Drosophila melanogaster: one gene and its partners. The protein of the gene in region 2 interacts with the protein of the main gene of each other region in a pairwise test. Each region holds a gene or a part of one and is shown on either strand. Other genes may lie near its edges.

Region 1 (6,449 bases), 7.1 Mb from region 2:
TTCTTGCACATTTCCATATTTTTATACAGTTCGCGAACTTTAATAATATTTAAAATGAAGATATCGACACTGGTTAATTGGTTAATTGTTTTGCAAGTGTAGCCAATATTCTTGGCCCGATTGGCACGGGAAAAAGACAGTTGGACAAAGCCACGAGAATCACGAATCTGCATTTGTAAATAGCGTCTGGGTCCGGGAGTTGTCAAACGAATCGAGGTCTCCGGGTGGCCCGGCCATTAAGATTAAGCCCAACCGACTTTAGTTTATTGCGACCGCAATTCAGATTAAAATGTGGGTTATCATCAGGTGGAGTCCAATAGATACATGCATATATAGATAGAAGCTTGGTGCCAAATTCCTATATACCTCTTGCTCACTTTTGCACACCAAACATATATATCTTCATCTTAATCTATAGTAATTGGGTTCAGATAAGGCTGCTCTCTTTATGGTTAATGCAACTAGTTACCCCTTTAATTGTTATTAACATGTACTTTTGGGTACTTTAAGTTCTGTCTGACAGTTGGCCCATTTTAGAGCTTAACTTGATATATTTTATTATATATTTTATTATACAATATAAAGCATCGTAACACAAACCATTCAAAATCCAATTAGATATTTTTTAAGAATATTTATATTAAACGTATAGCTCGTTATCACTATTAGGTTACAAAAAAAAGTTAGAGCTTTAAGTGGCTTTTGCCAGATATATGGTTGCTAATATGGTAATATTTTTTTCTAGTGAAAAACATTAAACAGTTACCCGTTCTTCCCCAAATAAACTTCTAATAATAAACGCAGAGCCATTAAACATTTAGATTGCGTGACACCAGTTGAGTTCTTAAAGGTCGTGTGAGTTTTACTACATACATATGTATGTACTTACTTAACTAAACTTAACTAAAAAGAACTTACCATATCGAAGCCAACTTCGTAATGGGTGCCCCTGGTGTAGAGCACTGGCACCGCCTGGCGACGTGGCAGGATCTTTCCGGAGGACATCTTGGAGATCTGTTGATCTAAAATGGGTTCGGGGTTCGGCGATGGGAACAACTCTTTTTTTTTTGTTTTAAGCAGTGGAAAGCTCTTTGCACTCGGCGCAAAATAGAAAAGGTAATCAAGAATAAGACGCGTCTGTTGATGATAACAAAGTGTGAGTTGTAAACAAACAAAAAAACAAAAAATAGTTAGTATTCCAATCAGAATGCCAGCTGATTTGTTCTAGAGCGCTTGAAGGCAGAATTCAAACTGATTTGTTTTGTTTTCGCGCCGACGAAGGCAGGCGTCGGCAGAGAGCGCTGCTGCAGCGTCGGCGGCGGCGGCTGCGTCGGCGTCGGCGTTATCGATTACCGACCGTTAGTTAACCCACTAATGACCGAGATACACGCTGTGTAGTTTGGGTTAAGTTCATTAGAGGGGCTGATGCAATTTTGCAGTTATAACTATGACTTCATACTTTGCTTTTTAGCAAGTCCAGAGATCAGCTGGGAATATATATTGTACATATATACTAAATTATTTTAGAATCAAGTTCACTGACCCCAAACGGTTATTTCGGAAGTTTAGGAACAAATGTAAATTTTGTTTTAACTTCATTTTATAGTGTAACATAAAAAATCATCGCCCAAAACCGGCTGGGGTTAAGGGCCGCTTAGAACTTTCAGATTCCAAAAACCATAGATTATTCAGCCTACTTATTAGAAGTTGTTGACTGCGTCCCAAAAAAATCTAGATATTAGAATGCTTTCGGCTGGTAAGTCAATTAGTCCGTCGTCTAATAGGCTTTGCGGCTTAATGGAACGCTTTTTGCCTCATTGTGTTACCCCTTTTCTTTGCGTATACGTAATATGAGTGCTGGAAATATCCGGCATACCCCGATGCTACCCCCTCTTTCGACCAACAAACTGACCATGAATATTTTCGCTTTTGTTTGCCGACCATATAAACACGTTTTCGATTGTTTCGCCGTTTTCTTTTCTTTCCATTTATTGCCTTTTTAACTGGGTTGGATTTTGCATTCCCCGATTTTCTGCTTAATTTTCACGCCAAATGAAAAGCGTGAGAACCGCGAACATACATAATATTCATTAGCGAATTATAGATTGGGTTTGGTTTTCAGTTCTAAATTTTCAGACTTCGCAAATTAAATGCGAATAAATAAATATTTAAGCAATCAATCCAGATGCCACTTGCATATTAATTGTATTGTTTTTCGTTGTATTTTGTTTGCCATCTGAGAGAGAAAGAGAGATTTCCAAGTGGCCTACAATCGCGATGATAATGATACTGAAAATGATGATCGTGATAATGATGTCGCAGAGCAACTTTCTCAGTTTATTTTTTTTCCCCCTATTAGCATCACAATTAAATGTTTTTTATTAATTTCGTAGCGCGAAACTGAAAATTAGTATTGGCGATATGCGCCGATATTATATAAGTGAGAATATCGATTAGGTATGAATGAACACGGTAATTTCCCCGATAATTTCGATAGCTGCGAACAGATCAGGTCGCTTTCATTATTCAATTTGTATTAACTTTCGTTCGTTGTTGTCGTCTGGCTGGCGGCTAGAAAAATGTATGCATCGCATTTCAATAATAATGAAAACAAAAGTTAAAACAAATAAAACAACCGCTAGTTTCGGTGCGATGGAGAAAGGGCGAGGAGGGGGGCTAGTGTGGATAGAGCGGGATAGTGAGATTCCGTCGAACGGTGATTGCAAGAAAATGACATTTTACAGTTGCCCCCAAACACCCTACACTCACCTGCGTTTTGGAGCATCTCGGTTTTATGACACCGTTGGCAGCGCTCCATCGAAAAACCTAGAACTACAAAGTATTACTCATACATTCGCGAATTAATAATCCTTTTTATATCATACATTATGATATCCTTATTATATAAGGCATTATTGTTAATAATTATATAAAAATATGGAATATTATGATCACTCTTTTCTTTAGGATATCAGTACTAGGGTCCAGTGCAGAGACGTCAGAAACTGATAAAAATTCGAAGATATTTATTAATTTTTTTTAGAAAGAAACGCATGATGCAGAGTGGGAGATTCCACGCTGCGTAACAGAATGGAAACTTTATATTAATTTTATCAATTTACAAGAACTCATGCAGATAGCTTGTATGCAAGTTCTTTAAAGATTAACAAATTAATCGGAGAATAAAAATATTAGTAACATAATGAATAAGGTAATAATGGCAAAAAGAAATCCATTATTAATTTGCTAAAAGAAAGGTATACACGCACAAAGGGCATTTGAAGGTCGGCGCAGGGCAAGGTGTCATCCATTTCACCCGAGGGCTCCGTAGGTCAAGATGCTTGTCGTCGCCAGCATTGGCTGTTGTATATAAATTTTGACAAAAGAAAGACTTCGGTTTAAACCAATTTTGGCAAGGCGGCGACCATAAGGTGATGACCACTCGACGCGACGACATGGCATGGATTAGCGGCCGTTCCCACCTGCTGGTGCCTGTGATCTTGGTGCTGTTAATACCGTTGGTCGCGGGCTTCGGCAACGAGTATGTCCACATCAAGGTGCATGTGCCCAAAGAGGAGTCAGCGGCGGAGGAGTCGCCACACAAGGTGATCCACCACTACCACCACCATCCGCATCCGCATCAGTTATACCGCAATCGGGGACGAGCCCGTCCCAAGCCCAGTCCACTGCTGGAGAGCGTAATCCTCTCGGATCTGGACAAGCCGCTGCACATGAGCGAGCATGCGGACTATCTGAATCACGCCAAGGAGCTGGCCGACCACCTCACGGAGACGTATGCCAAAAAGGCAGCTCCTCCGCCGCCGCCGCCGCCCAAGAAGAAGGTCAACACTTATACGATCATTGAGGAGCAGCACAGACCACATGGCTACGACTACGAGGATCACCATGAGCCCAGTGTGGAGACTTATCGAGTGATTGAATCGCGACCCAAGCAGCAGCACCATCATCACACTCATACTCACCATCCGGTTGAGGAGGAGGAGGTGGACGACGATTATGGATATCACTATCCGAGCGGGGGAAATCATCATCATCATCATCATCATCAGACTGGCGCCTATGCGGAACCCGCACCAGTGGAGGAGCACATCGACCAGGAGCCGGATACGGGCTATAAGTATTCGCCACACAGTCACGCCTACATCCCGCCCAGCCACGGTCAGGCCCAGCGGAGCTCCAAGCAAACCAGAGCGCCAGCGTACACTCTCGAAGCTCCGCAGGAATCCTCCTTCGGATACGATTACTCGCGACCCTCGGCCGGAAGTAGCACTGACTTCCGGCCATCCGTCCAGGTGCCATCCAGTGACCCGTACGGCGAGGAGGAACCGGCGGACACCTATGGACCACCGCTTACGGCCACAAGGCGTCGCCGGCCATCGCAATCCCTGGTGGATTGGCCCGAGTCCAAGGGATTCAACAGTGCCGCGTCCGAAACATACAGTGGCGTCGATAGCTACAACGTGGGTCATGTTCAGGGCTATGGATCCAGTAGCTATCACCAGTACAGTGGTGGGCCCTATCTGTAGGCGTTCCAACACCCCGTCTAATCTAAGATCTATTTATTGCACTTTTTTTTTCCTAGCTTCGTAAGTCGATAGTCAGTTTTCAGATTTAAGCGATAAATAAATAAATGTTTGTAAACACTTAAAGAAATGTTATTCAATTTCTAGGAATCAAGTTGTTAGAAGTAATAAACAAAAGGTTAACTTATTTGTTTATTTATTTATTTGTTTCAACTCAATCCTAGCAGTTGGAAAGCACCAAGACCACTTGAAAATTATAATGTAATAAAAACGCAAATTTGAATAGTTGAAGTAATAAAAAAAAGAGACTGTCTAATTAGTATGCATATTATGATCTTGAATTCTCAAATTAGTTTATTTAAACACTAAAATCTAATATTCTAATGGTGCAAGAGTAAAATGCACTCATTTTTGTTATTGACTTCAACTTTGGATACCAACCGGTTCACTTGGCAATGGGAATTTAAGTATACTACTTAGTGCAATTATCCTAAGTCTTGATTCTATCTATAAAACGTATAATATATTTACATTCTGATTATTTATTATTATTTCAAATACGGAAATCGTGTTTGGTACATTCATACATGGACTACTGTTCTCAGTGTTTTTGAGGAAGTCAGTTAGGCTAATGGATTTCTCAGTTGTTTGTTGGCCCATTTAAAGGGAGATCCGCCGCAAGGATAAGGCCTGTCCATCCATAAGGGTTTCACTTCCGAGCAGTCAACGATGAGCGGCCATCTGGGTCGGGTCCTGCAGTTCCACCTGCGGCTCTACCAGGTGCTCGGCTTCCATGGGCTGCCGTTGCCGGGCGATGGGAATCCGGCCAGGACCAGGAGGCGTCTGATGGCATGGAGCCTGTTCCTGCTCATTTCGCTGAGTGCCCTCGTACTCGCGTGCCTCTTTAGCGGCGAGGAGTTCCTCTATCGCGGCGACATGTTCGGCTGTGCCAATGATGCCCTTAAATACGTATTCGCCGAATTGGGCGTGCTGGCCATATATCTGGAGACGCTGAGCAGCCAGCGGCATTTGGCCAACTTCTGGTGGCTGCACTTCAAGTTGGGCGGCCAAAAAACGGGCTTGGTGAGCCTGCGCAGTGAGTTCCAGCAGTTTTGTCGCTATCTGATATTCCTGTACGCCATGATGGCCGCCGAAGTGGCGATCCATTTGGGATTGTGGCAGTTCCAAGCGCTCACCCAACATATGTTGCTCTTTTGGAGCACCTATGAGCCGCTCGTGTGGCTGACGTATCTGCGCAATCTGCAGTTCGTACTGCACTTGGAGCTGCTCAGGGAGCAGCTGACCGGCTTGGAACGCGAAATGGGTCTGCTGGCGGAGTACTCGCGATTTGCTAGCGAAACGGGTCGGAGTTTTCCTGGATTCGAAAGTTTCCTGCGCCGACGACTAGTGCAGAAGCAGCGCATCTATAGCCATGTGTATGACATGCTCAAATGTTTCCAGGGTGCCTTCAACTTCTCCATTCTCGCCGTCCTGCTGACCATCAACATACGCATCGCCGTGGACTGCTACTTCATGTACTACAGCATCTACAACAATGTGATTAACAACGGTGACTTGGGGATCTATCATTTAAGTACATCATGTAGTATATATGGAGTATCATCCTACAGATTACTACCTAATCGTTCCCGCCTTGCTCGAGATTCCCGCCTTCATATACGCTTCGCAGAGCTGCATGGTCGTGGTGCCCAGGATCGCCCACCAGCTGCATAATATAGTCACCGATTCCGGTTGCTGCAGCTGTCCCGATCTCTCCCTGCAGGTGGGCTGCCATGGTATCATGCTGTCGTATCTCACTTTCCCATCCTTGATTCTTGGCAGATTCAGAACTTTTCACTGCAACTCCTGCATCAGCCGATACGAATCGATTGCCTCGGCCTGACC
Region 2 (7,908 bases):
CATTTTCCGTTTTTTTTTTTTTTTATTTATTATGCAGCACTTTATTAACCACGCGCTGCATTATTGAAATATACTCCCTACCAGAATTTTGAACTAATCCAGTTTGTGTTTGCAGGAGATCAAACGCCTTGACGGTCCTATAAACGAGATTACTTCAAACTTCAGCCCACCAGATTTGGATTCGGATATAATTTTAGTGGCATTCGTATTGGAAGAGTTCTCATCTCACGTGTTTTATACGAAAATTGTACAGAAATGTGAAAGCTTTAAGAAACGCACACAGCTTAATGCTCGATCAAATATTATTAAAAAATGCATAAGCAACTTAAATTGGTTAATTGTTTTATGATTAATTCGGGGATATGGAACTGCAATGAGCTGAAATGAAAAGCTTTGAAGATTTAAAAAGTATTAAAACATATAAGCATAAAACCCTTTCAAATAAAAAAGGTTGTATCCAAATGTTCTAAACAAAGTTCTTTTGATCGTAATAATCATTCTAATAGCTTCGTTTTATCGCATTATTTTAGTAAATTTATTTGATCTAACTCGTATCTTATTTAACGGTATCATTCAACAGCTGTTTACCTATGCTACCACCAATCTGGCAACACTGCAAAACCGATCTGAAAACATATTTTTACGCAAGTCAAACTGGCACTTGAATCTATAAATAGCAATCAAAAAGAAAGCTAATAATTTAATATAGGTGAAAAACAGGCAATTTATTTTTATTTATTTTTATTTATTGTTATTTATTGTTACGCAAGTCTAACTGGCATTAAAATCTATAAATAGCAATCGAATAGAAAGCTAATAATTTAATATAGCTGAAAAACAGGAAATTTATTTTTATTTATTTTGGAAACATTCATTTTTTCTATTTCTTTTATGCCGAAACCCGCTCGATTTGATACGTTTTTTCGTATTTCCGGCAACATAAAATAAGTCAGCGATAAGCGAAATTGAAATAAATAATTTAATTTTTATATTACTTCCAAGGCCTTTTTTATTACAGTGCACTTCCAATTTGCGTCTGCTTAAGGTTTGTGTATTACTTCCCATTGGAAACAACCATAACCTGTCCTAACCGCTAATAATTGTTTAATGGTGAAGCAGATATTAAAAAGTAGCGCGTTGCCTTCGCATCTGTTTGTATTTGCGAGCGTGTTTGTGTAGCGATACCGGGGCTCAAGATGCATATGTATGTACATACATTTGGGATTTGCCAAAATCTTTGGCTTAAATACATACATACAAGCAACCAAACATTTATGGGGGATTTTGTGCGACTGGATTCATTTGTTTTTCGGGTCACAAAAAAGCGGAAAATGGAAACGCTAATCTCGGCTAACCAATAACAACGAAAACCTTGCGCTACCGCTAAATGTTATCTCTTGTTTGAATGTCAGCGCTTAGAGAGCGTCTTCGCACGTATGTATGTACGGTACAAACATACGTATGGATGGATGGATGGACAAGCTTCCAGCGGTTTGTGTGTATGTATGTACTTGGCTTGCACGAAAGTTTCAGTTTCCTATCGAAACACGTCTTAAATGTGTATTTATCATCGGCTGTGGTACGAAATGCACGTCGGTGTATGCGTGCGTACGTAATAGTTGATATTTCTCTTTTTTTTTATTGTTACAGCACGGTTGCGTGTTATGTTTTGCATTTTGTTTTGAAAGCTCCGAAAGCTGTGCTTTATGTAAAAACATACGTACACTTGCCAATGTACGAATGTTTGATTGCACGATTGTATGTACGTACGTTTGTATGTTCGTTTGTACGTTAATACTTGGCGTGTGTTTGTGTATGCGGTTAGCACAAATCCAGCGAGAAAGAAACAACCAACGTTGGCTATATGTATTAACTTCAAAATAAAGTTCAGTTTAAGCTGGAGCGCAGTCGAGGTTGCGTCGCTTGTTCGTTCGGTCGGCTTTTTGGTCTTTCGGCTTTCGGCTAGTTCCTATATTGTATGTACGCATGGTAAGCATGCGTTCTCTTTCGCTTTTCAAGTCTCAGTTTCAGTTTTCAGTCTGTTCGATTGCGTTTGCATAGCATTGCATTGATTTAACAATAGCTAAATAAAGCTTAAAGAGTGTATCTGTGATTTATTTCTAAATGTGACCGCTTTGAGCCAATTTGTGCATAAATATGTATGTACATATAATGCTTTGGATTACATGAATCGCTATTGCCATTTCTGATGCACAATGATGTATGTATGTACGCAAAGAGCATACGAATGCATGGCTTGCATTACGTGATTTCATACATCTGTGGGTGTATGTATGTATGCACCATCGAAATGGCAACTCTTACGCATAAAAATTGCAAATGTGTATAAAGCCCCACGGACCCACACAGCCACATAAACATTATCGGACGCAAATGTATACATACAAAAAAAAGTTGGCTTGGTGGCTTAATTGTTGTTGTTGTTTTTTTGTTGATAGTGTGCACACAGTGCGAAATTAGTGTGATTAAATGTGGAGATGTGTGATTTAATAAGCATGTGGGAAATACAGCGAGAGTGATTGAGATGGAAAATGGGAGATGTACAAGCTGAACTTGCCCAGAAACATGTATACACACGTACATATGCATACGTTTGTAGGATTATGCTCGGCAAAGTGAAGTATTTCCTTACAAGCAAACACAGCCATATATGTATGTTTCTTTTTTTAAACGAATGGCACAGTAAAACAGAGACCGGAATAGATGTTGTCTGTACATATGATACTGTTGATATGATACCATAGCCATAATTTAATAGCCTTTTCATGTAGCATATGCGTCTAGCTATGCAATATCGGGCATGCATAACTGCATATCCTATGTACATATGTATATCGAAATATGGGATAAACATATCACTTGACTAACACATATGCATACATGCATACATACATACACATGTACTCATTAAAATTTAAAGATGCGTGCACAAATTTAAACATTGATAATATAAATTTATATGCAGCGCCGTGTGCATACATACATACATATATTATTTTCTAATTGGAAACGCGTTGGCAATGCCTAATTGGTTTGATTATAAAATTAAATTTCTTCATTTGGTCGCAGGTTTACGGTAACTCTCTGATTTTTAATAGGGTTTTCATATAAACAAGCGGGGTTCGATGAAGTGATATCCCCGGTTTCCCGTTATTTGTTTATACCTTTTTTTTTTTGCTTTCAATTGCTACTGAGTTCAGTATAATGCTATTTCAATAAATAATAATGTTAATTCAATTTAAAAGCTCGGGTTCCGTAGTGGTGAATATGTTAATTAGAAACATGATTAGAATGGGCTAATGCATAATTCCCCTATTGCAGACCCACTGCATCTTACACTTCGGGGGACTTTCTGACCGAAAACAATAGAATCAAATGACATGTGGATACACATGTGCATAGATACGTACATATGTATGTACAGAGATATGTACATATATGGCTTACTCATTGTTAACACTTACCTGTAGTTCCCCCCAGGTGATTCTGTTGTGTCATCCGACGAACAATGGATCATCGCAAATAGGCACTTCATTAATAAGTAAGCACAAACCGTTTCGGCCATAAATATCTGTGATATATGAATCATTTTGGCATCTCTGGTTATAAAAAGCCCACGTTTAACCGGTCCAAGGTTTTTATTTGGGTCTCTCGCACAACACAAATTCAATCTACAATTGAAGTGCTTTTTCGTGTTCTCTTGCAGATACTAGATCGTGAGATACGAGATCAAAAAAATAGATTCATGAGTACGACAACAGGAAAGGGAAACGTCGCAAAAGGACTCTTCGGGAGAATCAAACTACCTTAATACCATTAGCTAAACTTAGTTAAATATGTCAAATACGACGAGGTCCAGCCGAGTTACCATCGGTAGAATTGGAACCACGCCACAGATCACAGATCCATGGTCGTCCGGCTTGGAGAAGCAGCGACCTTCCCGCTGTGGAGGCCCCAAATCTCTCGCAGAGCCAACGTACCGAAAGATCGGACGGCGAAAGATGATGCTCCATATGCGAGTCCATGACCCTGGAACGACTGTAACACAAAGAGCAAAAGAAACGGCAACGGCAAAACTCAATAGAATCTATTTATGTACATTTAACCGAATGGCACAGAGCTGTATATATTTTGTATTATTTTTAGTAATCCTAAGCCCAAATACTAGTTGTGCTCTACGGAGTAGTGCGGGTGAGACTCAGAATTATGTCGGAATACTCAGCAACGATAGTGCAACGACCACATATGATGTGTCGTCCCTGCACAGCAGTAGAAGAACAAATCCCCCATCATCATCATCATCATCATCATCGAATGTTGATGTTGATTATCGTAATGACAGAGAGCTCCACAAGGTCGACCTGGTTGGCCTGGGAGGTGAAAGAGCGGGTCAAGCTGAGACCATTAGCGGCGGCAAATACGATTATAACTATGAAAATACTCACACAAATGCCAGTGCGAAAGATGAAATTGTTGAACGGCAGTCAAATAGCCTCGACTTCGACGGGGTCGATATGTTTGGCGCCTTCAGCATTCCGGAAGAGGCGATATACACAAATGAGTTCGCCGTCAACATTCCAGCTGGCAAGCAAATGGCAGATGTTATAGCTACCAAACATGGATTTATCAATAGAGGACAGGTGAGAATGTTTGTCCAACGCTGCAATGGAATTGGTGCTCATACAATTTACTTAATTTTTCATAGATTGGATCGCTGGACAACTACTATCTGTTTCAGCATCACCATGTATCGAAGCGTTCGCTGCGCTCTAGTCGCAAACATCAGGGCGCCCTTAAATCAGAGAACGAGGTGTGTACTCTCTAAAAAAGTATCCAGTTGGAGCAGAGATTTCAATCATGATTGCCTTGCAGGTGAAATGGATGCAGCAACAGCACGAGAAGGTGCGCCGAAAGAGGGACGGCCCGTACCAGGACTTACCCACCTACAGTCCGTATAATCTTTTACGCCAACACGGCGGCTACGTTGTCGATCCGAATCCGCATCTTTCATTCTCCCCAGAATCGATTTCGTTAGCCTCGCACTCACAGCGCATGGAGTACCGGGATGTCAGCTCGCATTTCATCTTTCCGGATCCGTTGTTTAAGGAACAGTGGTATCTGGTGAGTAAAGTATGTAATCATCTCTCATTTAAATGCATGCTTCATGAATCCATATATATTTTATAGTCCATTAGTCTATTAGCTCGATTCTCTATACCATCAGCGTAGTTTCCTTTGAGACGTTCAATCGATTGCTACTAACCGTGTTAGTGTTGATTTTGTTGATTTCGAAATATTTTCTTTTCATTTAACATGCTTTATTTGTAAATGTTTGGATTTCTTTGTTGATTGATTGCCTATTTTTTGCTTATCTCTTCGCCAATGTCATGTTTAATAATCAATTTGTAAATTCCCACAAAAATCGCTTTGTAGAATGGCGGCGCCAAGGATGGCTTGGACATGAATGTGGGTCCCGCCTGGCAAAAGGGCTACACCGGCAAGGGCGTGGTCGTGTCCATTCTGGACGATGGCATTCAGACAAACCATCCCGATTTGGCCCAAAACTATGTGAGTATCCCAACAAAAAAAAATCAATGATCAATTGTTAAAAATACTATTTAAACGCAGGATCCCGAGGCCTCTTTCGATATAAATGGCAACGATTCGGATCCAACGCCCCAGGACAATGGTGACAACAAGCACGGAACCAGATGTGCCGGCGAAGTGGCCGCGGTGGCTTTCAACAATTTTTGCGGAGTGGGAGTGGCCTACAATGCCAGCATTGGTGGTAAGTGATCATGGTTGATATGTATTAATTGCAAACCATCTAAGCTGTTTGTGCTATTAGGAGTACGAATGCTGGACGGAAAGGTCAACGATGTGGTTGAGGCCCAGGCATTGAGTCTTAATCCGTCACACATCGATATATACAGCGCTTCCTGGGGACCGGAGGATGATGGCTCCACTGTCGATGGTCCTGGTCCGTTGGCCCGCCGAGCCTTCATCTACGGAGTGACCAGCGGACGACAGGGCAAGGGCTCGATATTCGTTTGGGCCTCTGGCAACGGTGGACGCTACACTGACTCCTGCAACTGCGATGGCTACACCAATTCGATCTTCACCCTTTCCATTTCGAGTGCCACTCAAGCCGGGTAAGTTGACAGGATGTAGACTTGGATTCTGATTCAGTAATGTTGTTGCAGCTTCAAGCCCTGGTACCTGGAGGAGTGCTCCTCCACGCTGGCTACCACCTACAGCTCCGGAACGCCGGGACATGACAAGAGCGTCGCCACCGTCGACATGGACGGCAGCCTGAGACCCGATCATATATGTACGGTGGAACATACGGGCACCTCGGCATCGGCACCACTGGCAGCCGGCATTTGCGCCCTGGCGCTAGAGGCCAATCCGGAATTGACTTGGCGCGACATGCAATACTTGGTGGTGTACACATCAAGACCGGCGCCACTGGAGAAGGAGAACGGATGGACACTGAACGGTGTTAAGCGAAAGTATAGCCACAAGTTTGGATACGGTTTAATGGATGCTGGAGCAATGGTGTCACTGGCGGAGCAGTGGACATCGGTGCCGCCGCAGCACATCTGCAAGTCGCGGGAAAATAATGAGGATCGCAAGATAGATGGTGCATACGGTTCCACCTTGTCCACGCATATGGATGTCAATGGGTGTGCGGGCACGATCAATGAAGTGCGTTACCTAGAGCATGTCCAATGTCGCATTACCCTACGGTTTTTCCCGCGAGGAAATCTTCGCATACTGCTCACCTCACCGATGGGCACCACCAGTACCCTGTTGTTTGAGAGGCCGCGCGACATCGTCAAGTCCAACTTCGATGACTGGCCCTTCCTGAGTGTTCACTTTTGGGGCGAGAAGGCGGAGGGTCGCTGGACACTGCAGGTGATCAACGGCGGACGCCGGCGCGTCAATCAGCCGGGCATCCTGTCCAAGTGGCAGCTGATATTCTATGGCACTTCCACTCAGCCCATGCGGCTCAAGTCCGAGCTGCTGAACAGCAGTCCCCAGTTGCGCAGCCCAAGCAGCTCCAATCCGTTCCTCTTCCCATCGGCCTCGAACATTGGCCAGCCTGCCAACGAGGGTGGGAACTTCAATACGGATAGCTTTGCCAGTTACCTCAACTATCAGAACATCTTTAGCAGCGCTGGCTCCGATCCGGAACCGGCAACAGCTACATTGGACGGTCAGAATGTGACCGCAGCGATTGCTGGCGGCTCGTCGGCTGAATCCCTTGGATTTACCGCCTCTGCTGCTCAACTGGTAGCGGCGCCCGAAACGAGGGATGGCGACAAGAAGATCCTGCACTCCTGCGATGCCGAGTGCGACTCCTCCGGCTGCTATGGCCGTGGACCCACACAGTGCGTTGCCTGCAGTCACTACCGCTTGGACAAGTAAGTGGTACCAACATGCGCATTTGTGGAGCTCGGGTGCTAATGGTTTTCTGTTTACAGTACTTGTGTAAGTCGCTGCCCACCGCGTTCCTTTCCCAACCAGGTTGGAATCTGCTGGCCCTGTCACGACACCTGCGAAACGTGCGCCGGTGCCGGACCCGACAGCTGCCTCACATGTGCTCCGGCCCACCTGCACGTCATCGATCTCGCCGTCTGCCTGCAATTCTGCCCGGACGGATATTTTGAAAGTAATAATCTGGCTTTGTTCATCAAAAATTTGCTATTGTTAAACAATTATTTCTTTGTACTCTCCACAGACAGCAGGAATAGAACTTGCGTTCCCTGCGAGCCCAACTGTGCCTCATGCCAGGACCATCCCGAGTACTGCACTAGCTGTGATCACCATTTGGTTATGCATGAGCACAAATGCTACTCGGCCTGTCCCTTGGATACGTACGAA
Region 3 (7,766 bases), about 12 Mb from region 2:
TGGCCCCGCCTCCTTTTTCCGGGTCGTTGAGGTCGTCGGCGGCTCACTTTGTTAACAACTTGGCATAAAGTTGTTTGTCTTTCACCTCGGCGTGTCGATGACATCACAACGTCGAAGTGGTTGAGGAAAATCAGGGAACGGGTGGAGAGTTCACAGGAAAAGTCCAAATGTATTGCGAAGAAAATCCACTAAGCTTAACAAACTTGCCCGCGGGCAAATTAAAATTTTAGTCAAGAGATCCAAATATTAGAGCTATGATAATAATACTAAGTCGATGCTATTTTTCGTTTTCTACAAATCTCGTACTTTAAACCATTTTTTCGGTGTGAATAAAGAAGCTGCAGTTTTTAGCAATAGTTCTAAGCGGTTGTAAAGTTAAGAATGGAGGACTGCAATTTATACAATATTCCGAAACAACAACTTACAGCCCAGTTCACCCATTTTTCCCATGAGGCAAAGCCAACAGATATATCGTTCTCATGGACTTTTCTCCATTTCCAAATTAAATTTTCCTACGCTTCGGAATCCAGCGAACTAACCGTCGGCCAAGGGTGTAAAAATCAATCAAACAAAACGGACTGACACTTGGACAGACGATTAAAGGAAATGGAAGAAAGCTCGGGGAAATTCGATATGCAAGTAAACGAAAACCAGACACTTTTGGGCAAGACAGATGGAAACCTTATGGATGATGGGCTGGGAAAGTTGGGAGATATGCTGCGAAAGTGTGTGGGGGGGGGAGGGGGCAAAATAAGTGGGGATTCTGTCATTGTTTCGGTCAAACGCACAACAACAGAGCGTTAAATTCACACAAAACGAGCAAAGATGAGTCCGATTTTGATTCCTAACCGTAGGTCCTTGGATAGCCATTCGAGCAGATCCTTGAAATTGTCCAAAATAAAGACTGGGACCTTGTGAGGGAATGTCAAGTAGATCTTTCTAAGATCCAACATTATACAATATATAATACCATATTTTTCAATAAATTATAGAAAGTTAACTATATATTGAAATGCGTGGCAAGGCGATAAAGTTTGAAAAACTGATTTACGCGATTTCCCCATTTTTCCTCAGTTTTCCTTTTTTTTCGGAAAAGAGAATAGAGAATATGTGTGTGTGTGTGTGTTACCAATACCAATATTTTTATGCAAGCCATTAGCAGCATAGATTAGTTTTGCATATCAAATGGCCGAAAGGAGTTTTCCGCCAGCCCTTCCGCTCTTCCCATTCCCTTTTTCCGCATTTTCCGCAGCACTTCAGCCGAGTGAATGAATCCTTCACAGCGGAGGACACGCACAAAAGCGCAAGCAAGGCAAACAGGTCAAGGATATTATGCATATGTGAGTAGGCAAAACGAAACAAAGAGGATGGTTGCCTGGATGGGTGGTTTTGTATGAGTGGTTGGGTTCGGTTGTGGACTGCGTGGGGGTGGTGCAGCGAGGAGTCCCTCATTTTGACTGTCATTGTCACCATCAGCCGTCTGCAGCGTCATCTTCATCTACATCGTCATTGTTGTTCGCCACTCGAAAGTCGCACAAATGAACGCGTAATTGTTTGCACATGAATACATTGAGTAAATATTTGCAAACACATTCAGCATTCCACCGGTTTACCTCGCCTCTATGCCCGGACTCATCACGTTTTCCTCGATTTTCCCCCGATTTTCCTACGATTTTCACCCGTTTTCCAACCGGCTTTCTTCCCGCTTTCTCCTCGGCTGCATTCTGCAGCTCAGCCAAGCTGAGCCATCATCATTTGCATGCCGGTGCAAAAGACTTGAATTGCATTGCCAAGTCAAAGAAGGCCTTAATCTGCTTACCTTGCCTCGGTGACATTTCTTTTCACACTACCCCCGTCCAACCGCCCCACGCATTCAAGCCAGCCAGGAAAATGGAAAATCGCTGGAAAAGTTGCTTAGCTTGGCAGGGCTTTGCTTTAATTACGGCTGCCCCGACTTTGAGAGCATAAACAAATTGCAAATTGTTTATGGCATGCAAATTAATCAAATCTCTTTCTCAATTAAGCCTGCAAGCCAAGAAGCTTCAAGCGAAGGAATTGCAATGGTAGAAGTGTACAGTGTACAGAAGGCCAAATAAAAGCTAGCCGGATAGGCAAAGTGAATCGACAGATGGCCCAACCGGCTGAAAAAAAGAAAGAAATATGGAAAAATGGAGAAAAATTTCAGTCAACACAAGAACTCACATAACTTGAACGCTTTGTTTTGGTTTTTTCTCAACTAATTGGGTACGTGAAATAGTTAATGAAAATGAAATGAATTAATAGTTTATTGAACTTCAAATAACTCCTATGGTATTCACTTTTAAGCACCTTTTATAAGTGTTTTGGAAGTACATAGAAAATATATAGCAATGTCAACATGCGAAGGATCTTATATGGTCTCCACTCCCCAAGCTGACCCTCAATGATCCCTAAACGAACGGATTCCCTGCGAAATGTCGCTCACATGCAATTAAATTCGCTCAGCTCAGTAATTTGGAGCTGTGAAGTTTCCATTTCGCAGCCCGGGGGGAGCCAACTCATGTAATTGAGTGTAAACTTGTCAGAGAATTTATTTAATGCCTAATCAAGTGATGTATAACACATGACTTACCCACTTCACCACCTTCGTCCCGCTACCATTCCTTTCGACTCTGACCGGTTTGCCATGGGTTAAGCGGGCCGATGATGGGTGGCGAATTGGGTTTTTCGGGGCATGGGTGTTAAAGTTAAAGTGTCAGTTGTAGCTTGTCAAAACTTGTGTTGTCCAATTAGCATAATTTCTTGTCTCAACTTCGGCCCCGATGCAACAGATACGTAATTCGGATACGAAAGTATCTACGACACATCTAAATTGCCGGATGCCTGGAATTCACTTAGGTTCCCATTAAATCGTTACGAAAACTTATCCTCGTCTGGATGGCATTTTCCGCTCAGATGGACTCCCCCATTAAAGAATGAAATGTAATTATTTCAGATACTCTAGCACAACAATTAATCATTGGGATCTAGGTGGTATTATGTGTGTGTGACGGTTGTGTCTGAGCGAGTATCTCAAGCATCTAGGACAGTCCCACCTTAAGCATATTCTTACTTTAAATCAAGTTATTAATATGTTTTTAATATTTTCCCGACGCGCAATACTAGGGCATTGTTGAAAAACCAGATTGTCAGTATTGTCAGTACCACTAGCATAGTACCATTCCACCACCATTCTTGGCAATTAGGGCCGCTACGATGGCCATAAGCGATTTTGGGTAGCCGAAAGAGAAAAATCAACAGCTGGCGAAGAGCGAGCCAAGGTCGTTCGCCCGGCGGTCGCTCTTTAGTGCGGGGAAAAACCGTTGGGGAAAACTCACCACGACGACGAGGATTTTCCGAGGCGACGAGGGCATCGCACGAGGCTTTTCCGTACGGCATTCAGTCTCACGTTGAACTCTGCTGCTGTTTGTTGTCAGCCGGCTGGTGAATTAACCCCCAGGACACAAACAGAAGCCAACCGATTTGGCTGAGCCAACTGAGCCGCTCAGCCAGCCGAAGGACGAAGGACCACGACCACGACAATTCGCGACGTGTTGTTTAAGACCAGAAACCCAGAAACCAGAGACCTCAGGTCCTTAAGGTGTCCTGTGATCGCGTGACGATAATTGTTTGTGCATCGTGTTTCGTACGAAAGAAAAATAAATTAACACTGGAAAAGTTCGCTGATCTCTGTGCGCGATTTTCCATTATTTTCAATAAATTGTTTTTTTTTTTTTTTTGTTTTTGTTTTGTTTTGCCGGCACCAGACCACGCACACACACACAGAGAGTGATAATGATGGTGATGAAAATCGAATCGAATAACAAGTGAATGCAACAAATGCGCATGAAATGAAAAATTTGTCCACACAAGTGTGAAAAACCGAAAAGTAAGAATCAGATAAAACTGAGATAATCAGCGAGCGAACGAGGCGAAGCCAGAAAACCCAATCACCCAAAATAAGCTGAGGGCCAAAGTGCTCCGAGAACGGTTAGTAAACACAAATTGTTTGTTTTCGTGGCTTTTTCCTGTGTTTGCCTGAGATTGGGGACTATTTTCTTAGCGGCTGATAAACACCGAGAACCGAAAAAGACCAATACAAGTGTGTTTTCTCCCAATTTATCCGCATCTACCCACTTAATCCACGATATTAGCTAGACTCTTTGAGAAGCGCCGAGAGGGGCGACGAACGTTGTCGCCTTGTTTTATGATTATGAATGAGTATATATTTGCATTGATATTTTTTTTTTTTTTTTTCCTAACGAATAACAATTAACTAACTATGTTTGGTTAGTAAGTTAATACAGTTGTTCCAAACATAGTTATTATTATAAACGTATATAAGATAGACGATTTCGAATAAATTCAAAGTAAATATTGGATAACACTTATCCAAAATGTTGACCAAAACCTATTTGCAAACTGTCAATGCGTTTGCTCTTCTGATGATAAATTCGGCACGGAGAAGAAGTGTGGGTCGAGGCTCAGGACCCTTATCTAGGCAACCCAAACGATGACAGTTCATTTTCCGGGGGATGGAGGCTAATCAATTCCGGCACCAGACCCCAGCGATAAGCAGTTGTAAATCAGGGCTTCATAAATATGGAATTGTGGAAAATAAGTGACTCCATCAGCCAGTGAAAACTATCCCTATTCTCTCTTATCCCCCTTCGCCGGAAAGTGTGACAAAGCAGGGGCCACGACAGGACAAGGACCTACATGATTTATAAGGCACATTAAATTGAATATTCAACATAATGTAGCATTTAAATGACCCACGCACAGCGTCGAGCGAGCAAATGTGTATATATTATAAGGAAATGTGGCACAAGACGGCCTTAAAGGTCAACGCGTCGGTTTTCCAAGGAAGAATGCAAAAAAGATGGGCTCTTTATGGCCAACTCCTTGCCATATTGTTTAAATGCGAAAACCGCTTAAAGTTTGGCCGGCGATTGAAATTCCTTCACTGTGGGGGGGGGAGGAAATACTCCACCAAAAAAGCATAAACAAAAAAAAATGGCAAAAATATTCGCACACTTTGCGTGTGCGTGTGTGGGGGAAAGTAATTTACCAACACAGTGCCAACGAAAGCATCATAAATCACACGTTCTGCCCAACTACAACTACAGAAAGTGACACTCGCTGGGGGCGGTAGGTGGTTGGCGGATGGGCGGGGGGCGTGGTGCGTTACGTGTCCAGGTCAAATGTCAAAAGTCAACCAATTTGGGCAACATTTTGACAGACACTGCGCTTATCCGCCGGCTGGCTGTTCATCATTGTGCAACACTGCCAACCGATTATCGCAAGGGCGTGATGAGTTACTCGCATTCCATCCCAAGAGGATTACACAAGTTTCAGAGTCCCTCCATCACCGCAGATTATTTCAATTTACACACCAGATCTAGTTTCAAGAAAAAGTCCCATGCTCGAAGTTCAAGCATTCAAGCATACACCTAATTCAAAACAATAAAAACACGTACAAAATATGTATTCAGTTTCATAATCTCATTTTTCCACACGCATGAGAGCAAACATGATTGCTTCACTAGTCTCAAAATATAAATATATTATATTTTAAACACTTTCATATCCGCACGAAACAGAAACATCAAAATTTCATTAAAAAGTTAACCATGTTTTGCAAATTTTTTAAAACTTTGCTGTCAATATCAAGCAGCGTAATCAATTTTAAAGTGCCAACAGTGTGTAAACTAAATTATTAACTTTTATCGAAACTAAAAGCTTATTATTTTGAAATGATTATGGTCAGGAGATATAGCAATTTGCGTATATGTAGAACCCATAGTTTATTGTTTCCATTAACTTTCGAGTCTGACTGCAAGCCATACATCCCTTTTCCAGCCCAGGTAATCACTCCTTTGCCAGCCCCTTGACCCGCAAATCATATTTTCCGGCCGTGGATTTATGTGCTGCCCTTCCTTTCTTCGCCAAAATGTATGGCCCTGGGTTAACAAGATGTTTATAAAAATGATATTACGATTTGCCTAACCCACAAGATGGCACGCACAATGTGTGTGTGAAAGGGATGTTGGATGGGTGACGGGGAATATGCGGGGTTTGGGGGATCCAAGGCCATTAGACAACGCATTAATCTAATCATATGAGTTGCTCTGTCTGTGTGCCAAAAATCATGAACTCAAAAATGGTGGCCCCTGAAAAAAAAAGAAAAAAAAGTTGGGCACAAAAAAAGCCAACACACAGAGAGACATTTGCAAGTTGATTTATAAGCGCGCTGATGTCAGTTACGTGCAAAATGGCAGCAAGTTTTTGGCCCACGCATGGGTTAAGAGAGGTTAAAAGGGGGGTGTTGGGTGAGTTGGCTCACCTGCTTTCGTGTGCCCGGGGTGAAAGGTTACTGGCGGGGGATTTGCCAAAGTCAGAGGCAAAGGCAGCGCTCGCTACCATTGCGCAAATTGCTTGCAACACTTTTTGTGCCATTCAACCCCGCTTCATTCCTTGGCTGCCTTGGCTTTTATAAATCGTTTAGACACCGTTCCCCCCACCTGCCCCCAAGCCCACCAGCCCACCAGCCCAGCAGCCTACCTGCCCGCCGCGATTTTCCACCACCTGGATAACAACAACAGAGGAACGGTGGCGACAACTCGAGTCAAAAGAAGCCCGAAAAACAGGAAGCCACTCCCGTTGCCGTTCGCGTTCCCATGCCGTTTGACCCCGAATCCCCACCGTTTCGAGCGCCACTCAAAACACATCCATCAACAGCGTATTTATATGCGAGGCAAAAGGTTAAAGGTGTTTTCTTTATTTTATTTTTTTTTTTTACTTCTTCCACTGCTCCTTATTTTGTATCCAAAGAGAAAGCTCCTAATTGTCAGGACTTTGCTTTGGCTTCAGCTTGTTTGGCCCTCTTGCATACTTTTGTGCGCTCGTCGCGTAATGAAGATAATTGCTGCTAAGCGGATCCTGCAGGATTTCTGAGACACCTTCGCGTTCTCACACCCGTTCATAAAATCCGCAATGTTTCTGAGCGGATTTCCCGGTAGGCGGGGCGAAAGTTGGCCAAGCTCTCATTTATTTCAATTTAATTTAGACTTTGCTAATTTCAACGCATTTTTATGATTTTGGTTTCGTTATTTGGCCATTAGTTTTCAACTTTAGGTATACTTTTAGGCGATTAAATTCCAAGTTCTCGGACTTTAGAAATACAAATTTTAAATTCAGCTGCTGTTTTACGTTATATTCCATTATTGCGATTAATTTTTTTTTTTTTTTTTGGCTTAGTTGCTTACTCATTTCAACGTTTTTAATTTGCATGGGCGAGGACGAAGGACTTCCTTTTGCTAAGCAGCATCTCTGGTTGCTTTAGCGAGGACGACCTGCATTAATTAAATTCTTTCAGGTGTTAAAAGGTGTCGAGTCTGCAGCTATTGTTAATGCAGAATAGAGGGCGAAAGGGCGAATGGGTGGCTAATTGGTAAATGCTCTGAAGTGCCACGGCTAACGAGGCGTATGCGTAGTGCGAACAAAGTCAGAAGAGGCAGGTGCTTTTGGCCTAATCAGTGGAGAGAAGTTCCTACCGGATTTACCATTTAAGCTATACTAATCCCAACCCAAATATCCTAGCATATTTCGATTTCAATCGTAAGTTTTACACTCGCCTGTGAAAATATATACAATTGCTCACAGGCCCAAAATAATTCTGACAGACGTAAACATTTATGACCAAAAAAAAAAAAACCCACGACAACAGGTAATTGTTTTTCTTATAC
Region 4 (9,572 bases), about 15 Mb from region 2:
CAAAATGTTGTTATAGAAAAGCTATTCCCCCTTCGGGCATATCCTGCCTTTTTGTTTATTAAACTGCGGCTTGATTGTTTGTTATTAGTAGCTGGCCAGCGTAATTGGAAGAGGAAACCAGTAACCCAGTTTCCTGGAAAGCTTGGACTTAGAAAGTCTAAGCTTGGAGCCATGAACTCACCTGGTACAACTTGATGATGTGCGGATGGCGGAAGAGCTTTAGGTTCTGGATCTCACGCCGGATCTTGCCCACGACGTCCAGGCTTTTGATCTTCTGACGATTGAGTATCTTGACGGCCACCTTGACGCGTGTGATCTGGTGCTCGCCGATCTTCACCTTGCCGAAGGTTCCCGTTCCCAGGGTTGCGCCCAGTAGGTAGTGCCCAATCTTGACCAGCGGCTGGCCATTGGCGCTGCCGGCGGCCACCGCCTCAGCGGCCGCAGCCCTCATCTGGGGCATCTCGAGCAGGTAGCTCCTTGTTGGACTGGGGGTGCTCCACTGCTCCGCTGCGGATGGGCGCGGAGAGGGGAGCGGTGGTAAGGTCGTTATCGGTTATTGCGTAGTGTACTCCGCTGAATCAACAGAATAGAATAGAATAGAGCAGCCACTCACGTTACGTTCTTCCTGCCAGCCGTGCCACCTCGCCCGGATACGGATTCGGATGTCAAAGTGGTTGTGGATGTGTCAAGGGCGGTTGAATTGATACTGATTTCCTGGATTTCTATTCGAGCGCGGCAACGAGACTCTCCTTTACGCTTGGGTTTTCTTCGCGTTTTGCTTATTTAATTGACATTGGAAGGCGCTGCCACTTCCAACAACACTGCCTTCCAACAACACTCGTTCCAGCAGCTGATTCGCGCCCTCTCTTTCTCTCTCTCTCTCGCCTTCCAGTGGCTATCGATAAGTGGCGGCCAGTGATGCCAGGTAGTTCCGCAGTGGCGCGCAATTTAAAACCATCTTGCCACTTATGCTGAATTTATAAAAAGCAATATTAATGGCTTTACTCAACCACATTTGAAATAGTTAAGCTCGCAAAAAAACTAGTAGGTGTGCGTTGTCGAAACTCTCTGATGTCCAATTGAAAGGGAAAAGATGCCCGTTTTGTGATTTAAATACACATTTATTACACCAAGTTGATTTTTTGGATCCACTCCACGCGCATAGAAGGTCAGAAAGATACCTCTTTTGTGCAACGTTAAGTGTAGATCAACATTCAATATAGATTATCAAGAATACTGTCCTAAAATTCTCAAAGATGTATGGTAAAATTCAGTTTGTTCACAAATATGCGTGTATATGTCAAGCTTTGTATTTTTCTTTTTTAGTTTCTGTAGTAAAAGGCTGCCACAGCTTCTTGTTTTCACCTGTCAAATAGAACCGCTTAATGACTAGTATATAATGTTCGTGTAAATGCGTTTTTACGACGATCAGGATTCAGCTAAGCGAAAATTGAACATTTTAACTATTTATTTGCTTAGCCTAACATCAATTTACAACAATAGTATATCGTCAACTTAAGCTCTGATCCGCACTGTACTGTGCTGACTGTACCTCAAATCTGTATCATCTCTCTCGCTCTCTTTCGCTGAGGCTGCATCGCACCATCTCGCTCGCAGACTCAAGAATTCAATTTGTGTTCGTTTATTATAAACTTTAGGATTTAAGGTTTAAATACATGTATTTCTTTCGTGCTTTAAGTTTATTCTGAAAAAAAAGTCACCTTAACTATGATATTGCTACGAGACTAGGATTTACGTTTAGAGATTATCAATACTAAAAAAAAAAAATTTCGGACCTCTGGGTCTCACGGGTATGCTGGTTGGAAAATTTCAAGTTTATTTCATATTCAGCCATCTTCTTGTCGGGTTTCTGTTGGAAGTTTACCCGAAGTTCGGGTATTTATACATCATTCATATATATTATCTAATATATAGGTGTTTGTATAGTGTGGTGTTCTTGTTCTTGGTTTGTTGGTAGTACATCAATAATTTATTTATAATGTAGTAAAAAGCAAGTGACGCGAACGAACCCTCGCTGTCGACGTTCCTTATAAGTCTACAAATTAACCATCTATTCAGAGCAAGCGTCTTCTGTCTGTTGTCATAAGGTTCGTCTCTCTATATATCCGTGTGTGTAACGTCCGTCTCACAGTGTCCGGCCGGAATAGTCGCCACATCTTGGGGCTTTGCATCCGTGCAGTTACTCAATTCATTTACAATTCGCAATCCACCAAGAGCGAAGATTGTTTCGTGAACTGGAGATGAGTGCAGGAAAGTTATATTTGAGTTTTGGTTGCGTTCTCGTCTCGTCTTGAGTGGCTGATGGTTTGCGTTTGGGGCTTTGTATGTTGCTCATACAAACTCATTGGAATTTTTTCTTATGTGGTTCGATCAAGGATTCGACTCCGACCGTCTTTATGTGTGTGTGTGTGTGTGTTGTTGGGGATTGTGTAGGCTGGTTAACTTTGGAACATTATTTCGTACATCTTAATACACGCTATGCATCTTTAATTTGCTCTGCTTAATTCTGTGATAGTGTTCTTGTGGTACTGCCTATGTCTGCCGTGCACCTTTGCTTTGCCTCTTGCTGCCAATGCTTGGATTTGCTATTCCTGGCCAGTGTGGTTTCGGGTTATATCGTATGGTCTCAACCAATCCTGGCTCTCTGATATGGATATACATATATGGATAGCAAGATACATACATACACATAGAGAGCGAGAGAGTTGGCTACTATTGGATATCGCTTCTGGGTAATATCTCCTCTTCCCTCCTCCGATTGCACTCAATCTATTTCTACTCGCTTCTACCATGTGGCCACCGCCTCCGCCGCCTCCGTCTGCACTCACTTTAAGCTTGTGGACTGGCTCTGTTCATGGTAACAGGAAGAGAGACCGGAACCGTGACATATACCGGAACATACACGGCCAAAACAGCTGGGTAGGCCGAAAGTGACGCAGCTGGCGAGGAGATGGAAACAACTGATGGATGGGCGGGGGCTGGAAAGTAGAGCGGCACTAGGTAGTCGGAGTGGGAACGGGATCTGCCACCGAATGCGCAATATATCTGATGGTTGTTCTGGAGGCTTGCGGGCGGCGGCTTAAACGGAATCTGCTGTTCTTGTTGGGGCTGTGGCAAATGCCATTGCCTACGGGATGCGGCTGGCTGGGGAATCGGCTGCAAATCGGCAATGGCAGCATGAACACTTCACCTGTGAGATGCAGCTAATATCGTGTAAAGAAATTAATGGCGTTTAAATAAATTTCTGTGCATGGTTATATGGATGCGGTTTTTGAGATCGTGTTGTTCTATTTGATCTACCTCTGTGCGCCATGTGGTGGAAGTTACCACCACCGCCTCCACCGCCGCCGCCACCACCACCACCGCCGCCTCCGTGAATGGGCATGCCCATGCCCATGCCCATTCCCATGTTTACGCCCATGCCCATGTTCATGCCCATCGGGTGCATTTGCTGCATGTGGTGCGGATGCGGGCCGCCCATGTTGTGGTGGTTGTTGTTGTTGTTGTTATGATGGTGGTTGTTGGGGTGATTGTTGTTGTGGTTGTTGGGATGGTGGTGCTGCATGTGGTGCAGCTGCGGATGGTGCTGCGGATGCTGGTGTGGATGCTGCGGCTGATGATGATGCGGCGGCATATGCGGATTGTGGTGGTTGTTGTGATGGTGATTATTGTGGTGATGAGGTGGGTGCATCGGTCCACCTGGGCCCATGTGGGGCGGACCACCGCCTCCGCCACCATTGCCACCTCCGATCTGGGCCATAAACTGGGCCGCCTTGGCCTTGCCGTGTTCCTCGGCGAGTCGTACCCAGATTGGCTGGGATCCGCCCTCCGGCACCGTGTTGTTCAGCGCCTTGATCGCCTCTTGAGCTTCCTCGCGCTTATTGTAACTGCAAGCAAGAAAGCGGGTTTCAAAAGCAGAATCGAAGTAAGTGCAGTTCAGCCACCAGTCGAACTCATGATAAATTTGGACGTGGATTTCTGTGAGCATACAATTAAGTGGGGCACACTGGACGGGAATTGAGCACCGTGACCTAATTTCGAATCGTGGATGCTGCACACGCAGATCGCACCCGTACTCACCGCACAAAAGCAACGCCGCGCGGTCGTCCAGTGAGCTTATCCCGCAGGATGTTTCGCTGAACAATCAGGCCATAGGGCGAGAAGATGCGGTCGAGCATGTCGTCGTTGATGTTTCGCGACAGGTTGATGACGTACAAATTCGTATCCTTAATGGACTGCCCACCCGGTCGAGCATACGACACCTGAGGGAGACGAAAAAGAGAGTCACAAAGGAGTCATGGGAATTCCGGGGGATTCTAACGCACCTTTAATCGCTTGTTGCGCACATAGAAGCCATTTAGCTTCTGGATGGCGTCCTCCGAGTCCGACTCCGTTTTGTAGTCCACGAAGCCGTAGCCGAAGCTATATCCGGTCTGTTCCGTTGGCGGGCATACAAAGCAGAGGGGAGTGTAAGCTGCATTCGTGTGTACATGCAACGTGCGACAGGGATGGCACCTGTTACGTGCAGTTCAGCAGGTATTCTGGGCGCTCAGGCGGCCACAACCGAACTTACCTTGAAGTCGCGCATTATCTTGCAGGTGTTGATGGGCCCGCAGCCGCTAAAGAGGTTGTACAGTTCGCGGTCGGTCATGTCCTGTGGCAAGTAATTGATGATCAGATTGGTGGCGCTGGTTCGGTCCACTTGCTGCATTTGCTGCTGTTGGCCTGCGGAGTTATCGTTGCCCTCGTTGTCCTGGCTGTGGTGTTGCTCCTCGTCGCCAGAGTGCTCCTGGCCGTCGCCACCGTTGCCGCCATCTCCATTCTCCTGCTGCATGTTGCCGTTGCTGTCGTCGTCATCGTCGGTGCCGTCATCACGGCCCACATTGTCGCCGGATCCCTGCACCGAAGCAGCGAATAGTCGGGAATATACGCGTGAAAACAGGTTCGTCGGCTCGCTAAGAGAATCCAAAAACTCACCTCTATGTCGGAGGACTGCTCGTCGTCGTGCTCCTGGTCCTGCATCTTATCCGCGTTGGACATGACCTTCTGTGTCAAGCCTTGATAGCTCCTGTTTGTCTGGGTTTCTTGCGTGTTTGCGTCGCAGTTGGCGCCACGAGCTGCAACGATACAAGAGAGTGCAAATCAATTAGTTCGCCAAGAAGAAGTTCAAGAGGGATTCCGATTAGGAGTCGCAGTAGGGACGAGCGATGCTCCTTGTTGCGCGGCTGCAGGATGCAGATTGAGCGCAGCTCCACACTCGGGACTCCGGAACTGCACTTCCTCTCGGCAAAATCAGAATCCGAATATGTGTGTGTACATCTCGGCAGCCGAGCCAAGGGGGAGGAGCCGGACGGAGGGCGCCAGCTTTGCTGGAATGCGGTTGCACTCGGTAGCCTGCCACTGCCCGCCCCTGGTCTTTTTAGGGGTCCGTACCAGGGAGTCCCAATAGCAACTCCGGCGCTACCCGCAATACTTGGAAAAAGCTGCTGGAAAAGTAACTACCAACACTCGCGCACTCGCCCATACACGCACGCACACATACACACGGCAGGCGATGCGTCCGTGTTTTTTGGCTTGGGGCCGTGCAGCCGAAAAAAGCAACACGAAAAAGCGTAGGCAGCACGGAGTCCTCGGGAAGCAGCCAGCGGCGGCCACGGAATACTCTGCAGGTGCAAAATACTCACTTTTTAGCAAACTTCTTCACAAACTGCACCGGAAAGCAGCGAGTTTTGTGCACTTCTTGCGTTTCCAAACGATATACAATGGAAGTCAATTCTTCTTCGATAGCGGTGCGATTTGTATCGGAACCTATCGGGGCCAGCAGTTCTTTGATAGTTCGATAACTCATGCCGTCCGCCTCTGGAAGGCATCAAGTGTTTTAAACCATTTTTTGTCTAATTGCCATTGTTAAGATTATTATTGAATTTCTTCAGTACTTTATAGCAGTTATGCCAAAAACAATTTTTCGCCAGGGTTGAACCTAAAAATATACCAGAACACAGAAATACCACAAGCGGTCGTGGTGCGATAAATTGCCTGCGCGTTCAATTATTGATAGATCGTTATCGAAGTTCACCTGAGCAGTTAAATACACTGTGAAAGAAGTTGTGGCAAATTCAGAGTGGAGCAATCAAAAAAGTTTAAGCAATATAATATAAGATCTCTTGATTTGGGTGGTACTCTATACTCTAGGTCAACGCTTTATTAACACAAGAAAATTAACGTAGCAAATCCTTAAACGCTAACGAAATCCCCACAGCTCATTTGGCATTTCCGATTCTGGTAGTCCAAGTCCTACTCGTGGTGCGAGTAGTGCTCGTAGTGCTCCGAGTGGTGCACCGGCTCCTCGTAGTGGCCGTGCTCGTGGTGCGACTCGCTGTGGTTTTCGAGCACCAGTCCGTGGTTGTGGTTGTGCTCACTCTTCGGGTGCAGGATCTTCAGCTTCTGCTTGGTGCCGCCGATCTCGATAGGCTTTTTCACCAGGTGCTGGTCCTCCTTCTTGATGTAGACGGGCACGGCATGGTAGTGGTGGAACTTGACGCTCTGGTGCGAGGTGGCGTGCTTGTGGTCCACCTCGTGGTGCAGCTCCGTCTCCTCGTGCTCCGGCTCGTACTTCACATGGTGCTCCGGCTCGTGGTGCTCATGATGGTCGTGGTGCTCGTACTCCTCGTGCCCCTGGTGGTAGTCGTGGATCTTCAGAGCTCCACTAACGGCCAGAAGGGCCAGGCAGGTAATCTGCAGGAATGGGTAATATAGTCAATGCGGTATTCCATTTTAAACTAAAAATCTAATGTTAAATATATTTCCAAGTTGTTAATGAGGTGGTGAGGTTGAAAAACAGAACATGCATTCCATTTTCCATTCCGAAATATTCAGAAATATTTGGTTCTTGTTTTTCATAAACTATCTTATTGACTTGAAAACGTTCATTCCATTAAACGAATCTATGTTTGTAAAGTGTTTCGGTGCTTACAGCCAACTTGAGCATGGTTTTCTGGTTGCTTTTGAATCACACACTGGGGCACAATCAAAAAAAATATTCGAAACTGTAGACCGTTACGCGAAGTGCTCCTCTTGGCAGTGGCGAACTGAATGTGGCTCTGCGTTCGGGACCAGATTCGATTTATACCCGGTTTGGGCCAATCCCACCAACGCTGGCCAACCTGTAGCTGGAGTTGTGGCAAGCGAAATGTGAAATGTGCAACACCAGCAACAATGGCAACACACGGCAACGAACTTCAGTCTGTTGTTGTAATTTATGACCGCTGCCTGCCACAATTGTTTGGAAAATTTGGAAAATAGGTGCGTGCGATAGTGGTTCAATTAAAGCGGATTACGTATACGGCATGTGGCCTTTGCTGCGGCGGCGGCCAGTTTCCTGCGCAGGAGAAACCGAAACCCGTTGTCAATCAACGGGTTAACAACCACCCAGTTGAAAAACCAGTTGACGTTGAAAAATTCGATGCAAGTGCAAGGCAATTAGACGGTCAAAGATAGGCAAATAGAAAAAATCACAAAACGGAAAGAGAGGCCCAATGTAATCAATTTTGCCCACGTGAAAGATCCTTCTGAATTCCAAGGACAAGCACTAATGATCGGGCAGTAAACACCATCTATAGGCTAATTGCAATTCTATTAGTTTATCACCATTGCCAATCGTTTTCCCAATCCCAACGATAGCCACCGATAGACAACTTCCCGATTGCTCGCGACAGTTCACTCATGGGCCAATCCCTGATGATTGATGATTAATGATGAATGGATTAATGATGGATTGAGATGAAGAGAAGGGATTTTCGCAATCCCCACTGCAAGCTGCAAGTGTCGGGTGAAAGGTGCGTCCACTTCGATCGATAAACGAACGAAGTGAGCAATTAAAATGCAGCACATTACCATTAGATAATGACTTCGGCGGCGGGTTAACGACTCCACTTGGGAAGCTCGCGAATTGCATAGCCCAAACCCATTTCGTTCCGAATGCCAAAATACCACTTGAAGCGATTTAGTGGGTTAGTGTGCTCTGGGCGGGCACGAAATGGCGGCTGTGTGCACATATAATCGATTTGAAAAGTAAAAGTAAACTGCTTTCCCAGTCGCACGATTTGCATAACAGCCACAACGCCACCACGCCGCCAGTCTGCAGTCTGCCGAGTCCATGTCCAACATGCACCCGACATGTCGAGCAGTTTTAATTATCAATCCGGCGATAAATCTCCTTATATAACTCCATAAATTGACAGGAAGTGCTGCTTACCAAGTCTGTGAAGTAAAAATTAAAGGAATAGCGTAACTGGTTCGGGAATCCAGTAAAAGGCTTGTTTCCTAGTCCCCCATCATTATTCTATGCTTAGATCCTACTCCCAAGAACCGAGCACCCAGCTTAATTTATCATTTTTAATTTAGGATACGCAGTCACCGACTATCTCTCTTCGAGTGCGGACGTCTGTGTCTTTCCAATTGTGTGAGCTTTGCTTATCGCGTAATTACCATCGCCGTTACATTGATATTTATCATCTTATCTTCTTGATCTTCTTATCAACGCGTACGTGCAAATCAAAAACATTCAATATCCATAAATTTATTAACCATGGCCCCCGGGCCACTCAATTTGGGGGATAATCGCTTTGCCAGTCTCAGCGCTAGCCCCAAAGCTAAGAAAAAAAGACCCTTTCAAAAATTACAAGTTGATTTCCCAGACCTCCCTGAAACGCAGTGCAAAAATCCGAGATATTTAGTGGTCTCATCAAAAAACTCTCCGAAAACCATATCCGACTACAACTGCTTTGCTGTCCATAGAGCCCTTAAGTATATCAGCAAAGACATTACATCTATCTCTAATCTTCGGGATGGTAACCTTCTCTTGCTGGTTAACTCCAGGGAAATTAGTGACAAATTTATCAAAGTGACTTCTTTACCTGGCTTATGCGATATCGAGTGCAAGCTCCACAACACTCTTAACTTTGTCAAAGGCACCATTTACGCTCCCTGTCTTATTAACATTCCAGAAAACGAAATTGTTGAGGAACTAAAATCACAAAATGTACACAGCGTATTTAAATTTACCAAAATGATCGACGGCACCCCCAAACCTTTTGGAAAAGTTCTCGTAACATTCGACCGTTTCACTCTTCCCAGTAAACTAACGGTTTCCTGGCACACAGTTAAGGTGTCAGAATATATACCCAACCCGATGAGATGTAAGTCTTGTCAATTATTAGGCCACACATCAAAGCACTGCAAAAACCCACCTGCCTGTGTATCATGCAATCTCGCTCCCCACCTTCCCGTGCCATGCACTCGCATTTTCTGTGCAAACTGCACCGGCCAACATCCAGCCTCCTCACCCGAATGCCCACAATACCAAACACAAAAACAACTGCTCCACATCAAAACAAGCAAAAAATGCAGTTTCTATGAAGCTCGCACTATACTAAAACAACAACAAAACACAACAAATAACCCCACGCTTACCTACTCGACCGTCGCAAACCAAAGCACAGCATCCGTGATGCTTGTCAAAAAATCCCGAAACCCTAACACGATTACAAACA

What was found.
Region 1: the proteins of Fur2 (region 2) and CG15370 interact in a two-hybrid assay, tested with the Drosophila melanogaster proteins (one large-scale study listed by BioGRID).
Region 3: the proteins of Fur2 (region 2) and CG42594 interact in a two-hybrid assay, tested with the Drosophila melanogaster proteins (one large-scale study listed by BioGRID).
Region 4: the proteins of Fur2 (region 2) and ssx interact in a two-hybrid assay, tested with the Drosophila melanogaster proteins (one large-scale study listed by BioGRID).

The regions. Positions count from the first base shown.
Region 1 is NC_004354.4:9,222,022-9,228,470, forward strand, and holds CG15370 (uncharacterized protein), read left to right. Parts: upstream 1-3,415; 5' UTR 3,416-3,434; coding exon 3,435-4,547; 3' UTR 4,548-4,667; downstream 4,668-6,449. Other genes in the region: t (tan), read right to left, coding at 919-1,005; Gr8a (gustatory receptor 8a), read left to right, coding at 5,274-6,114, 6,176-6,327, 6,387-6,449.
Region 2 is NC_004354.4:16,371,199-16,379,106, forward strand, and holds the start of Fur2 (furin 2), read left to right. Parts: upstream 1-1,887; 5' UTR 1,888-1,989; intron 1,990-2,023; exon of another isoform or gene 2,024-2,225; intron 2,226-2,431; exon of another isoform or gene 2,432-2,636; intron 2,637-3,342; exon of another isoform or gene 3,343-3,562; intron 3,563-3,727; 5' UTR 3,728-3,857; coding exon 3,858-4,661; intron 4,662-4,726; coding exon 4,727-4,831; intron 4,832-4,893; coding exon 4,894-5,151; intron 5,152-5,454; coding exon 5,455-5,589; intron 5,590-5,649; coding exon 5,650-5,809; intron 5,810-5,869; coding exon 5,870-6,173; coding exon of another isoform or gene 6,174-6,177; exon of another isoform or gene 6,178-6,224; coding exon 6,225-7,448; intron 7,449-7,508; coding exon 7,509-7,696; intron 7,697-7,765; coding exon 7,766-7,908. Other genes in the region: nonA (no on or off transient A), read left to right, coding at 116-349. UniProt on the Drosophila melanogaster protein: Furin is likely to represent the ubiquitous endoprotease activity within constitutive secretory pathways and capable of cleavage at the RX(K/R)R consensus motif.
Region 3 is NC_004354.4:4,837,433-4,845,198, forward strand, and holds the start of CG42594 (uncharacterized protein), read left to right. Parts: upstream 1-3,400; 5' UTR 3,401-4,008; intron 4,009-7,766.
Region 4 is NC_004354.4:1,366,797-1,376,368, reverse strand, and holds ssx (sister-of-Sex-lethal), read right to left. Parts: upstream 5,790-9,572; 5' UTR 5,706-5,789; intron 5,139-5,705; 5' UTR 5,062-5,138; coding exon 4,999-5,061; intron 4,919-4,998; coding exon 4,595-4,918; intron 4,496-4,594; coding exon of another isoform or gene 4,455-4,495; coding exon 4,347-4,454; intron 4,284-4,346; coding exon 4,102-4,283; intron 3,909-4,101; coding exon 3,322-3,908; coding exon of another isoform or gene 3,254-3,321; exon of another isoform or gene 3,212-3,253; coding exon 3,018-3,211; 3' UTR 1,692-3,017; downstream 1-1,691. Other genes in the region: AMPKalpha (AMP-activated protein kinase alpha subunit), read right to left, coding at 182-460; CG14770 (uncharacterized protein), read right to left, coding at 6,316-6,756, 6,995-7,009.